2 linked regions of the Struthio camelus genome follow. The protein of the gene in region 2 binds, or shares a complex with, the protein of the main gene of each other region. Links are inferred from orthologs where the notes say so. Each region holds a gene or a part of one and is shown on either strand. Other genes may lie near its edges.

Evidence for each region.
Region 1: the proteins of ACVR2A (region 2) and INHBA are in contact, whole or in part, in a crystal structure (PDB 7U5P), measured with the Homo sapiens proteins. The link is inferred for Struthio camelus from reciprocal best matches to the Homo sapiens genes ACVR2A and INHBA. Residues at the interface, in NP_001265508.1 of Homo sapiens: Asn36, Asp53, Lys56, Phe61, Thr63, Lys65, Val74, Lys75, Cys78, Trp79, Leu80, Asp81, Asp82, Ile83, Asn84, Val100, Phe102; in NP_002183.1 of Homo sapiens: Ile340, Ala341, Pro342, His346, Arg397, Pro398, Met399, Ser400, Met401, Leu402, Tyr404, Asn409, Ile410, Ile411, Lys412, Asp414, Glu421.

The regions. Positions count from the first base shown.
Region 1 is NC_090943.1:59,022,857-59,029,811, forward strand, and holds the start of INHBA (inhibin beta A chain), read right to left. Parts: upstream 3,017-6,955; 5' UTR 2,907-3,016; intron 2,525-2,906; coding exon of another isoform or gene 2,518-2,524; intron 541-2,517; exon of another isoform or gene 239-540; 5' UTR 50-238; coding exon 1-49. Other genes in the region: uncharacterized protein, read left to right, coding at 2,518-2,524, 4,002-4,111. UniProt on the Homo sapiens protein: Inhibins/activins are involved in regulating a number of diverse functions such as hypothalamic and pituitary hormone secretion, gonadal hormone secretion, germ cell development and maturation, erythroid differentiation, insulin secretion, nerve cell survival, embryonic axial development or bone growth, depending on their subunit composition.
Region 2 is NC_090947.1:43,328,248-43,335,276, reverse strand, and holds the start of ACVR2A (activin receptor type-2A), read right to left. Parts: upstream 3,002-7,029; 5' UTR 2,170-3,001; coding exon 2,115-2,169; intron 1-2,114. UniProt on the Homo sapiens protein: On ligand binding, forms a receptor complex consisting of two type II and two type I transmembrane serine/threonine kinases.

The DNA of each region.
Region 1 (6,955 bases), on a different chromosome or scaffold from region 2:
TAATCCAGGAAAGCACCAACAAAAATCCTCTCTTCAAAAGCAAAGGCATCCTGGCAGCAAAAGTTGTTGTGATTCCCTTTTTAAAAGGCCCTGCTTTTCCTCCCCCTTCACGCACAGTTTTTGTTGTTGTTGTTGTTGTTGTTGTTGTTTTGGTTTGGTTTGGTTTGGTTTGGTTTTTTTTGGGCTGGTTTGTTTTGTTTGTTTGTTTGTTTGTTTTTCCTTCTCTTCAGCAAATTCTCTGGAAAAAGAACCAAAAGTTTTCTGTGAAGTTTTGTTTGCAGGTTCCCCCTCTGCATGCAATAAGTGCTGTAGATGTTTGTGGCTGTCAGGGAGAAGAGTTCTGACTCTGTCTCAGAGTAGGAGAGAGACACAGGGAGAGAGGGAGAGAGAGAGAGAGGACGGATTGGCCTAAAGTGAGTGAGTGAATGAGAGAGGGAGGGAGTTTTGTCTGTGAGTAAAGGCTATGATTAGGAAGGGGGAGGAACAGGCAGGCTGGCTTCCTTATGCTCATTGCTCCCCTAACACACACCTCTCTTCAAATATCACTACTCATGTTTTCTGCCCTCCCCCCTTTCTAAATCTCTTTTCTCTCCTGTACATTTACTCCCTTCCCCCCCCACCCCAGTTTGACTCCTGGCTGTCATTTCCCCCCCCCCCGCCCTTTTTTTTTTTCCTTCCTTTCTTTTTTTTTTTTTTTTGGTTTTGTTTGTTTTATTCCTTCAACAGTATCACTGGCTTAACTAAACAGAGGAAACATGAATGAATGAAAACGGTGAAACCTTTTATTAATGAGCACCTTGCTCTAGGTCCTGTCTGGTATTGTTAGAGATAGCAAGAGATGTTAAATAGCTTGTGAATGAGAGGGGGCAGGAGGCAGGGGCTCGAAATATTTGGGGCAGAACGTTATTCTGCCTCGAGCGGAAGAGAAAAGGTCTTTTCTGCTCACTTTTCAATGCTGGAGGTTATCAACACTGGCAAGAGATCTGACGGGAGCAAAATAACGCTGTTGTTTGGTGGGCTATATAATACTTGATACGCTCTCCAGCTGCAGGATGCAGTGAGGTTTGAAAGCCCGAGCGAGAGGTGGTGGAGCTCAGATCTGTGACGTGCTAAGGTACTGCCCTCGCACCAGAAATATCCCTGCTTCTGCCCTAGCCTGTGCCTAGCGTTTCTCAAGCAGATATATTTAGGTTTGGGGTTAATCAAGTAACGTCTGAAAAATGCTTTGAAGATGAAAAGTGTTACATGTCATCTGGCCAAATTATACTTGCTCCTGACTCAGGCAAATCCCTCACTGATGCCAATAATAATTTTGTCTGAGTGAAGGCTGAGTAAGATCATCTACATTTGGCCCATTGGTATTGCAAGGCACTTCTCGTTTCATTCAATTAAACCACACAGAGCAATCACGATATCAGAATAAGACATTGCAAATGGAAAGCGATCGAAAATGCCACGGGGAACCAGAGTTTCAACAAGTGTTGGTACATCCTTGCCAGTTTATGCCAGCGAGGGTTTTTTCCCCCTGCGCCGCAAAAGCATTCCCTGTGTCACTGCCGTGACTTTTTTTGCCTTTGTATTCTGCAGCGTCTCCCTTCTGTTCCTTATCTAGCAAGGACGAAGTTAACACATTCCCTTAGGTTTGAACTCGGCAACGCAGAAGGAGAGAACTACGGCTTACTGAGCCAAACTTCTGAGGTTTTTCCCCGCCGCACTTTGACGTTAATAGATTTTCTTAGAGCAGCTTCTACTTTTTTGGTATTCACCCTCTTTCTTTTCCTTTCTCTCAGTCTCTCCCTTGCACACCTCGGTCTTCTCAGGTGTGCTTACCTCCTACCCAGCAAATATGCCACTTACACTGCATTACTGTCAGCCATTGCATTTTAGTGGAAAGGAGTAATTTATAAATATAAGCATTGTAAGTTCTCTAGTTTCCATGAGATGACTACAGGCACATGGTCTGAGAGACAGGCAAGGAATTATAGTTACAGTAAATGAAACATACAGAAGTAATTGAACAATCAACCAAAGTTTTACAAATGTTATATATTGCAAGTCCTTTTCAATTAAGCTCTTTTATAAGTCTTTCACTGTTATAAGGCATCTACAGTACACCGTCATCTGTGTTTTACTGACCTCAGTTACTATACTGTTATATACTGTTACACTTATGGGTCTGTCAGCATTATAAACCCTGCAGCCATTCTTATAAACACATCTTTGTAACACAAACCTCACTATAATACATCTAAATTTCTTGGATCTCATGAACAGCCCAAAGTCTGTTGTAATTATATGAAGTCTGAAAGTCAGCTTGAAATAGAAGTAAAAGTTTAATTGGATGAAAAAATAATTTGAGAGGAAAATATGCATTCATGATTAGATGTATTAACAGATGACATAATTAGAGCGGTTATTTATAGTTCTCACATAGCACCTATCCCAATAGTGTCTGATGAAAAGTAAGGGACAGGCATATAGCAACATAAAATATAGATATGTATATTTGATTTCGTGATGCGGAGTATGCGCTGCTTGCCATATATATTAGGTACACTTATTACACACAGTCTCTATTACGTATAGATATAGCATATTATACTTGCATGCCATGATGATTATAGACTGAACATTAAAGCAGAACTTTATATAAAACATTATTTTCTAAAAGCGAGTCTACTGATTGTGCCTATATATAGTTCGTTCATACTTACATCCATACACGTATATATGTTCATGCTTAAAAATATAGAAATGATGGTTCAGAGTCTTTCTATAAAATTTCATGAGCTGCAAAGCTCTGTTTATGCATTCATTCAAAGCATCCATGACAATATGCAACAACATGCACCTTAATTAAAAGTTTTAGTTTTAAAAGAAAAAAAAAACTGATTTAAAGTTGTTACCTCTCCAGTCCTCACACTCTCAGAAGGAGACTGCTGTATTGTGCATTAAGAACTGCTCAAGTTCCTCTTTGTGGTATTCATAATGCGAAGCTTTATACTGTACTTCTCATGTCTACACTCACAAAATAATGTCTGTCAAAAGTAAGGGGGCCGGATCACTGCGCGGGATTGGTTAATCCAGTTACATCAGCAATTGACTGTTTTTCCTGTATGAGACATACTTCTGGTAATTATCTAATGGAAACTCCTAATTGTCTAGCATGACAAAATATCGTGGATTCAACTTGTAGTGGTGATCTCTGTACCCATTTAAAGAACAGAACTTCAAATCAGACTGAAAGCAAACATTGTGAGTCAGGAAGACACACTCCAACTTGTTTTATTGCATAGCTAGATATAGATATTATTAGATGTAGATACCACTGATTTAGTTCAGATACAGTATTTGCCAGATACTTAATTACTAGTTAGCAAATTGTTTTATTCCTCTTTCATACCAAGGAAATATCAGATAATCTATGTGCAAATCTGGACTTTTTTCAAATTCAGGAAAATGCATTTGATTCAGAATCCTTTTTGGAGGATTCAGTCTCTGTGCGATCCCTTAGAATCTCTTTCTGTTAACTTAGAGGTACCTTTAAAGCTCTTCAAAAATGAATCATATTGCTGTTGTCCAAGTCCCATGGCTTCCTTACACGCAGAGTGCATCACACTTAAAAACTGTTGAGACTGCTAAAAATAAGTTACAATGAATGACACATCATCTTTTTTGCAAGTTTGATATTAACACGTATGAAATAAAATTCAATTTGGATTTCAGTTTACATTAGTGAAAATCAGAAATAATTCTGTGTCTATTAGGCAGTGCAAAAGTAATATATACAAGGTCAAAAGCATATCCAAATTCCATCTCCTTTCTTAAACACACATAATCACTGGATTTATGTGGTACCGTTTATGACAAATGGCATGATCATGCAGTCTTTACTCATTCAAAACACCCACTGATTACCAGAAAATCCCCATCCTTCAGATTTTTTTTTTTGGCCTGAATCGTACTTATAATTGTATTTTTATGTCCTGTTGGTAATGTAGATCTGATCTGTCTTGGAATATGGCTGATCTGGATCAGGAAAGAAGGATATGAAATTTTCAACTTGCAGTGGTACCAGGGAGTGCTTATAGCAGCACTGATCGCGGTTGAGGTACGTGCTGAATTCACACAACAACTTTGGTAAAATGAGCAAAAAATTAAGAGTTAATGGGAAACGTATGCCCAGGTAGGTTGTTTTGTTTGCAGGTCTAATATGCATATAATAAGTTTTCAGGCTGCGACATGCTGTAGATTGAAGCCTCTTGAAACAGGTTTCAGTAGCTTTGCTGCAGTCTGACATTCACAGTTGCAGTTGTTACAAAGAATAGGGGTTTTTGTTTGTTTGTTTGTTTGTTTGTTTTTCCTTCAGGGACAGTGAGAAACAGACTGAGAAGAACAAATAATTCCATTCCAGAGGCGCACGCACATACTTAGTTACTTGCAGGACAGTATCTTTAACTGGGATCCTAAAACAAAGTTTTGGCAAATAACTTTTCCAGCAGGGAATTCTCTGTTCCCAGGGCCAAACTGCGTTTGGTTTTAAGTGGCATCCTAAAACTCTTTGCAATTAGTTACATAGTGGTAGTGCAGTGGCTACTGTAATTTGGCAGCAGACGTGTGTACTCAGTAAGAGATCTTGTGCTACACGGACAGTGGAAAAATTGTCCTGAAAATAACAGGGTTATCTTCTCCTCGGAGTCAAAGTGTGAGATGCTCTATTCCCACCAGCTGGCACTGGTGACCACTCCTGACCACTGCTATATCCATGCTGATACAGCAACCACTGGTTTAGTATCTTCTTCCACAGCTGTAGCAGATCACAACATCCCCAGTAAGAAAGCGTGGTCTGTAACAAAAAAAGAAGGCTACCGAGTGAAGCACAGCAAACATGTATATGATTTATAGTGCAGGATAATTTCTGAAAGGAGATTAGGAGAAGTGAAAAGCATTATTCATTTCAGAGCATGCTCCTTATTGCCTCAGGGAATATGTGTATAGCTTTACCAAAGGCCTAATGAAAGCTTTGCTCAGTGACTAATTTTTTTTCACACCTATTTCTCTCTTTATAAATATTTTTCTCCCCACCCCTCTGCTTCTTTTCATTTTGTTGAACACAGCAACACCTGCTGGCAGTGGTCCGGGAGTACTGCTGGAAAGACCCACAGATCTAACTCTTCAGACCAGCTGCCATTAAGCACTGCCAAGCCATATTAATGAGCTGCCTCTATTTTTACCCCTTCCTGCCAGAAAGGGCAGTTGCTCTTCGGAAAGACTGTAGCATGTTTTTTTTTTTTTCCCCTCCTCTCTTCTTTCTTTCTTTCTTTTTTCCTGGCAGCTTCAGAATCCAGATAATCATTGTTCATTTAGTGAAGCTGGGATTTCTCTAACTTAAATTCTGATGCCACTGATTGAGACCACATAAAACTCCAGAGTGATGCTAAGGCGATCGAGTTGGCTTGCAGGCATATGTTAGTTCCCTGCCGGGTCAAAAATAACTAAAGGGAAGGGACTGGAAGAGAAAGGGTAGTATACCAGCAACCTGTCTCTTTTTCCTTTTTGTGGATTTTATCTTACAAACCGTTAAAAAATGGCCCATTGCCACCTCATTATTCACCTACTGGAGGTTGTATGATTTACTGGCTGTTTTGGAATTGGGCATGGTACACAACGGTATTTGTGTGTCTCCGTTCTTGCTTTGAAGAGCAGTCACTAGAAAACACATTGGCACAGATTTCTGCGCAAATCAGCTGGAATCTCGCTCTGCTGTACCTTGTTTTACTGTAATAGCAAAACAGGATGTGCCAGAAACTTAGAAGTTTTACGTTTCCCCATTTTATGTAAATGGTCCAATTAGGGCCAGTCTTGCTGTTGCTGCTCACTCTAAAGCCTTTGCGTTGCTTAGAGGGGCCAATGTTTTCAATCATAATTAGAGAGCTGGTCAAAAAATAAAGTTCGTCTAAGGATAAGGACTCTGTCTGGAGGGTGGGGTAAAGAATAGCTTTCAAGTTCTTGCCTTTTTTTGTATTAATGAATGACACTTTTCTCAGGGGGGCAAGATAAGCATGAATGCTCTGTTTTAGGAAGATCTGTCTTCATTCAAAGTCAATCTGACTAACAAATGAAAGCATGTTGTTTTCCTTTCTAAACGATACCTCTGTCTTCTGCCATGCTGTTCATTGATCTTCTTTCTTTCCGATTCACTGAACAATGAACTGTTCCTTTAAAAGGGATATTTTTATGTTCATGTTATTTTAGCATATGCATTGCTGTTTTCCACTTAAAAACCAGGAGATATGCATGCATAAGCCAGGTGACGCAGATGATGTTATCAGCGTGAGATGAAATGACACAAATGTGTTCGATAATATATCAGTGCTTGCCTAAAACATGTGGGGGAAAAACTATTTACAGAGAGAATTTTCTTGAATTCATAGAAAGTATAGAGGTAAATTACGACTCCAGAGGGTAGTCCAAAGAACCGAAAGCGTTCCCACAAACTAGTGTCCTGCCTTGTTCTTATGGCACGAAGATTTTCAGTACATTACTGGACTAGTCATTCTTTTCTTGAGAAACAGCTCTGCAATGTGTAAAATGTCTCAAGTGATATTTCCAGAGGTTGTGATTAGAGTCGCATCAAATAATTTAAACCACACAGGGAGGGAGCTCCAGACTACAGATCCTATTTGGTTCCAAGTTGGATGAATAATTTATGGCTAAAGTTGGAGCAGCGTTTAACATTTATAGGTGAATTAAAGCTATTATCAAAAAAAGAGGATTACACTAAATTAATTTGCATGCTGTTTAAAACTTCAACTGTTGCACAAAGCATACATCACAATCATTCCTCATGGAATTGTACTTAGATAAGTGGAGTTTTATCAAGGATACATTTGGGCCAGCTGCAAAATAATTGGTAATGGCTTTATTTCTCTGGCAAGGCCAAAGTTCTCTATTC
Region 2 (7,029 bases):
GAGAAAGAAAGAACATGTCTTTACATCTGAACTCTAGGATTTCTCCAACTATTGCCAATATACTTAAATAAATAATCTGGATAGACTTCTTCCAGTCTAAAGAACGCCAAGGAGACTTTTACTTCTGACTATGATGTTAGAACAAATTAATCAGATGCCTAACCTACACAAGTCACAGTGAACAGAAGAAACACTACTAATCAAAAGGCATGTATTTAATGCTAAAAGCTTAAATAGTCTTTGAGTTCTGAATAGTAGAAGTAAAAACTCACTGCAAGTCTGTTCATTCTTATACCTACACCAGGAGAGCAGAAACGCTGATGAATATTAGGACAGAAAATACTTTAATAATTGTTAAATACTGGATTATTTCCTGTTTAATACTGGAATAACCACCAAAACAATGTTATTAACATATGAAGTAGTCCAAAATCTAGCCAGTTCTTCATTTAGTGAAGATTATTTCCTTTTTCACCAGGCAAGAGAAATATTCACTTTTTATCTACCAAGAACAGTAAGAGCAAGAAGGCTAAAGAAAAGACTGTTCTTGTTGCTTAACAGTTCTTTTTGATATGGAAGATAGTTAATTTCAACAAGATCACTGTTGTGTGCTCTAGGCAAAAGGATCTTAATAGAAAGACAAGGAACGGAAAGACATACATGAAGAACAGATGGCACTAAGCCTTCCAAAAACTGCCAGTTGGGGGGGGAGGGGGGAAGTATCCTATGAAAATATTCCTGAATGAAGAGGAATGTCACTTGAGTAACTTCAAAACTAGGTATTATTAGGTCAAGATAGAAGATATGTCTTTTAGTGAAAGGTAAAATTGTCAAAAGTAATCATATGCTTTAAAAAAGAAAAGGTACACTTAGAAAAAAAACACACACACACACACACACACACAAAACTATGTGCCTGTAACCTCTTCTGCTATTTCTCTGATTAAAACAGACAGGATTCTTTTGGTTAATTTCTGGCAGTGATCGCCATTTCACAGCACATTTAGCCCACACGTAATTGATCAATAACACTACAGACATTAGACTAGACTATCCATTTACTAACCACAAGAAAATGTACTGTTCAGCAAAATGCTGCACATTATAACATTGAAATTTTAAAAGGCAGTGACTAGATCTGTATTACAATGCCTTACACAGGTTACAATTGAAACCTGAAAACCAGCAGTCAGAATACTCAGACTGATAAACAAGTTTATCTTTGCATGCTGTATGAGAAAGCTAAAAAGCATACATAAACATACAGAGAGGACTCTAGATGCGTTCAGAAACATATAAACAAGTTTTAAATCTGTTACACCGCTCAAGATTGGTAGCTTATAATAGCTTTTTGTAAAACTGATGAAGCTTCAAGTAGAAATGTATCAACAGTCCAGCCAGCCACTGGTTGCTACCATAACAATTCCCCCCCTAAAACAAGCGTACAGAAGTTCTCACACGCCAGTTGTTTCGCATGACTAAGAGCTAGCATTAGAAACCGAACTTTTGTTATTTCAAAGATAAAATTAATGGACTTTTGTACTACAAAACACACATAGCAAAATACAAAGCCTTACAAATCGCTTAGAAACCGATTTGAAAGTCTACCTTTTGCACTTATTCTGTGTGCACATCTACACGTGCACACATCCCTTCCTGTCAGTAAAGGACTAGGCTAATACTTTCATAGTAGTAACTGTTCTACGCTAACGAAGCATTAATGAAGGCCGGTATTCACCACTGAATGCCACAAAACAAGAGATATCAATGAAGTTAAGAATATTTCAGTTTGATTATTTATATTTTAAAACACGAAACATGCTAGTTATTGCATCATCAGGCGACTGCCTATGACATTAGGTGGTTAAATTTCTGCATGTGTTCTACGCAATCTATCTGAAATGCAAGGACCGCACATGCTCGAAACGATCAGCTACACAAATTCTTAAGAATAACGATCAAAACAGCTAATGCCTTTACAAACACTGCCAGCCCCACACGTTTGTCATCTGAAAAGGAGATTTATCTTAATTCATACTAATGAACAACGTTACCTTCAAGCTACCTTTCAAGCTCTGATCCTTTACGTTTAAAGTGACAAAAATAAGACTTACCCGAAGAACATGAGATAAGAAAAACAGCAAACGCCAACTTGGTAGCAGCTCCCATTTTCCAATGCTGTTAAAACATTTAAGTGATTTTAAGTATCCAGTTTCCTGGGTCTTGCAAGCTGGAAAATCCCCCTTTCCGCTGAACCGGAATAATGCACTCTATATCAACATTTCTGAGGAGTATAACGTTCACAAAATAGTAAAGTCGGATTTATTAAGTTAGTGACGATCTCTCTCTGGCTCTTTCTGGCGAGAATCCGGGCACAGGGATGGATTTATTTGGAACTGTGTTTCAAAACACACGTGTCATTTGGCTTCTGTACAAACGGTGGCAAAATTTAATTCATAAAAGCATGTTACGAATCCACTAAAAAAGTCAACAATTAAGCCGCTGGATACCTTAGGAAAACAAAGTCTCGAAACACACTCCAACTCTTTTCCACATCAAGCTTTGCAAAGCATCCCTCGTGGGTGCTGAAAATCGGGGAGTCGTACTGAGATTAGTAAACAATATATTTTCGTCCTCACTCCCGTTATACAACATGTAGTGTTTGGGAGAAAAAGAGGTCCACTTCAGTTTCAAACGTCACGAGCCTTTGAGGAAGGGAAGGATAAGAAGTCTGTCAGTTTCTTTACCAAAACTACCTTAAAAAGAAAGCTACCAGCTACACGTGGGCAACACTGAAGTTTTCTTTAATAATGCTGCGGGATTTAGCGTAACCCAGGAGAGAAGAAGGGAAGAAACAACAGTCTGATAACAAACAAACCTCCTGGCCTCCTCAAAAGTGGTAAATCTCTAGTCCTTCTCCAGCCAGTCAATGAAAGCTGCACATTTCCCCTTCTCTCCCGTTTCCACGAGCCTTCGCCTTGTCCGTTCAACACCAGCCCTCTCGAGCCCAAATCAGATTTCCAATTCTTTTAAAAGGCTGCCACCCCCCTCCCAAGAGACTATATTTGGTATTTAAACACAGAAGAATGACTGGGGGGGGGGGGGGAATTGCAGTATCCAGCCGCTGGGGAGGAGGGTGATAGATAGGCTCGGTGGCAAATCCTTCCTTCCCGGATCGCTGTGTTTCGGGGAGAATTCCGCTTGTCGGCGAGCGCGGCGGCTAGCGAGGTCTATGCGCGCACGGGAGGCGACAGCAGCTATCGCCTCGTCCGCGGGGCTGGCGGCAGGTTTCCTCCTCCCGTGTTGCCAGGCTTGTGCCTCTTCTGCTGGATGGTAAATACACACGCTCCTCGCCAACTCCTCACGGACACATTTCTTTCCCCCCCCCCCCGGCCTCTCTTTCCGCGCCTCTACCCGCCCCGCTGCTGTTCAAACGGAGACCCTAGGCAGTCTCTCACTCAATCCAGTTCTTGCTTGGTGTAGAAGAAAAGGAAAAAAATACATATATATATATATATACACACACAGCAGGGGGTGGAAAGGAGAAGGCTGCCGGACTCCCGCTGTCCCTTCGCTGTGCCTCCCACACAGCGCACCAGGCGAGCCCCGGCCAGAGGGTGGAGGGGGGCAGGACTCCCCTCGCCACCCTCTCCCCTAACTCTGACCCCGGCTCACTCGCGGCTCGGAGGAAACCGCCGCTGAACGCAACTCTCCCGTCTCCCGGGCGGCGGAGGCAGCGCGGCCGAGACCAACTTTGTCCCTCCAGGAGTGCAGTTTAAGGGCTGGCGAGGAGGAAAGGCCGAGCCCGGGGTTTTTCTCTGAGCGGCGGTGGCGGCAGGAGCCGTCTCTAGAGTCTCCCGAGTCCCGCTGGCAGCTCGGAACAGCCCTCCGGACCCTGCTGCGGCTGCTGCTCCCCTGTGGTAATTTCATATCTACCCATTCACTTGTGTGGCGTGGAGAACGGAGCCAAGATGGCGGCGCCCGGGCGATTGTTTTTGTTTCCTCTCCTCCTCCCCCCTCCCCCACCCTCCCCTCCTCTCCCGCAGCCCCAGTCGCGGCGGCCCCGTCGCGCGACGCCGTGCGAGCGCGCCGCGCCGCCGATTGACAGCCGCCCTGGCCACTCGCCGCCCGCCGCCCGGCCCCGCCCCCTCTCCTCCTCCACCCCCCCCCCTCCCCAGCCCGGCGCCGCGAGGGGCGGGGGGAGCGCGCGCCTGCCCGCCCCTACCTGCGCCCGCGCGCGCCCCCTCCCCTGCCGCCTCGCACACGCGCACACACGTGTCCGCGCGCCCGCCCAGTGGGCGCGGCCCTCGCGCCGTCGCGGCCGTTGGGGCGCCGCGGCCGTTGGAGGCGCCGCGGCCGTTGGGGCGCCGGCCCCGGAGGGTCCCCGCCCGGCTCGCAGAGCGGGGGCCGGTTTCTGTCGCCTCTCGCCTCGGTAATGCTGGAGGAGGAGAGGGTGGGTGCGTGCGTGCGTGTGCGCGCTGGCGCCCGCCGCGGGGCCGGCCGGCCGGCCGGCAGGTGTGAGGGACGGGCCGCGCCTCGCCGCCCCCGCCCCCGCCCCCCCCCCGCCCCTCCCCGCCACCCTTTGTTATTAGTCCACCTTTCCTGGCCTTGCACCTGGCGTTTGGGAGCGTTTCTCTGTCACCACAGCCTTTTCCTGGTGACAGCGGTCTGCTGTGGAGGGAGGGCTGGGAGAGAAAAATACCGCAAAAAAACACATTTGAGACGTGTTATAAAAGCGAGAGTTGCTGGCGCTGGTGTCAAAGGCTGTTTTCCCGGCTTTCTGGCAGCGTTGAGGGCTCTTTTCCTCACTCCCCCAACCAGCAGCGATGCTGCTGCTGGTTTCTAGCAGGGAGCTTTAGTAGGAAGGATGGCATGTGGCATTCCCAGTGGCAGACTTCTTCCTCAAGGACCTAAATCTAATCCCTGTTGTCACAAAATCCAGTGTGCATTTTATAGTCCTGCTTTCAGGTGCTGTCGTGCACAGATAGTATGTTAGCAGGTGGTTATACCTACACAGCATATTAGTTATATATATGCATTCATCTATATATGTGTGTGTATATCTATATGTGTGTGTATATATAAAAAAGTGTCATTGATGATGTGTGCACTGGTCCCCCAGAAGAACAGGGTGCTCTGCTTGCATGGTCGCCACGCTTCCTGCCTCCAGCAGCTTTCTTATCGTTCCTCTGAATCACAGCACACTCCTGTTTCCTATCATTGTTTGTCCTTTGGCCATCACAGCCTAGCGGCTTATATTATTTATGTGCAGCGAGACCGCCTTTAGAAGTTCCCGAGATGGGCACAACACTACATTGTTCTGCTGTGCAAAAGCGGAACAAATGGTCTGTGCCGCAGGACATGGGTATGGAGCAGCACGTGCGCTCAGTTTGGAACAGAGGAGGGAGAGACCAGGAAGAATGAATAATTTCCAGTGTTCTCATCTTTTGGAGAAGATATGTATGGGTATTTCTGGTAGTTTGTTTCAGTCTAGATGCAACGTTTCTACGGTAAATCATCCATCCACCTCAAGGGCAGCTGTTCTGCTTCTTCATGAGTTTGGTCGGAGTCTGTACTTTTTTTGAGTGGATACCGTAAAATATGTTATCTGCCTCTGAGTGCAAAGGAAGACACGTTTCTTCTAGACCTGAGGAAGGATGCAGAAAAGCATAAGGGCCGTAGTGGTGGCCTATGATTTCTGTATTTTGTAAAGGCCTGTGCTTGTGGAAACAAGAGGTACCAAGTCCTCTGAAAGCTGATAAATCGTTCACTAACTATAGAGATGTGCTGAATGACTTCAGATACTTTACTTTTCAGGCTGCTGATGGCATGGTCTAAGTTTTTAGGTGATAGGAATACCAAATTGGAAGGAATATTATGTGTAAGATATTTTCACATATGCGAATGTGCAACCAAGCCAAGGCTGAGCAACCAAGCAACCTGAGTTGTACTAATTCACTGATCAGCAGGGGCTTTCAGTAGCCAGACCTGTTGAGCCACCATAATACTTGGATTCAGACATGAAGAAATGTGGATATTTTAGACCCTGCGTTTGTACTGAAGTGTCTCTTAAGTTCTTAATCAGGATTTGGATGTCCTTTGTGTTTTTCTGGCCTGTTCAAACACTTACCAAAACTAAATTCATTCACTGATGATAATTTGCTTTGAAACCTCCAAAAGCAAAACAAGGTGTATGGAATTGTGCAAATGTAAAAACATCAGGACATGTGGCAACGCTTTTTGTGCCATCTTTTATCCAAGTGTTTCAGAATGATTTACAAGCATTAATTAATGTAAGCATTACAACACTCCTCCTTAATCTGTAGTTTTTAATATTCTTCAATAGCAGAATATTTAAACGTGACCTGTTCTGCAGGTTGTATTTTCACTTGGCTCAGCTTCTTCAGAATGCTCATCATGTTGCCACATGAGCAGGAAATTATAGCTAAAAGTATTGCTATTGTGTGCATATGCGTGTGTGTGTGTGTGTGTATGTTTTCCATTTTAAGTATTTGGTTTTAAATACCTTTTTTACTGACAGAAGGTAGATTACGATCCATATTCATATTTCACCAATTATTTTAGATATAAAATAGAATGAATATTTGTTATCTATAAAAAACATTTGCATGAATGTCATAGTAAGAAGGTGTCTCTTTCTCAAGTAGCTTATTATTCTAAAGCAAGGGTGTTTTTTTGTTTGCAGGATCACTTCAGCGGTGTTATACCTTCTACCCATCCAGTAAATATTACCAAAACAGGGATCTTTCTTACCAGGTTGGTCTTGGGCATCACATGTTTATGAGGTCCATAGGAGTCATGAACGAAGCATATCTCTCTCTCTTTCTTCCTCGTTTTAAGGCCTAATGGGACCATCGCAAGTGGTACATGAATTAGAATGACTGTTGGTAACTAGGATAAGGGAGCCCACTCACAGTTTCAGACCAGTCCGGAAGCATTATTATAGGAATCAGTCTCTTTTCAGCCCTCCCAAGCACTGCATGTAAACCTTATATCCTTTGCAGAGCC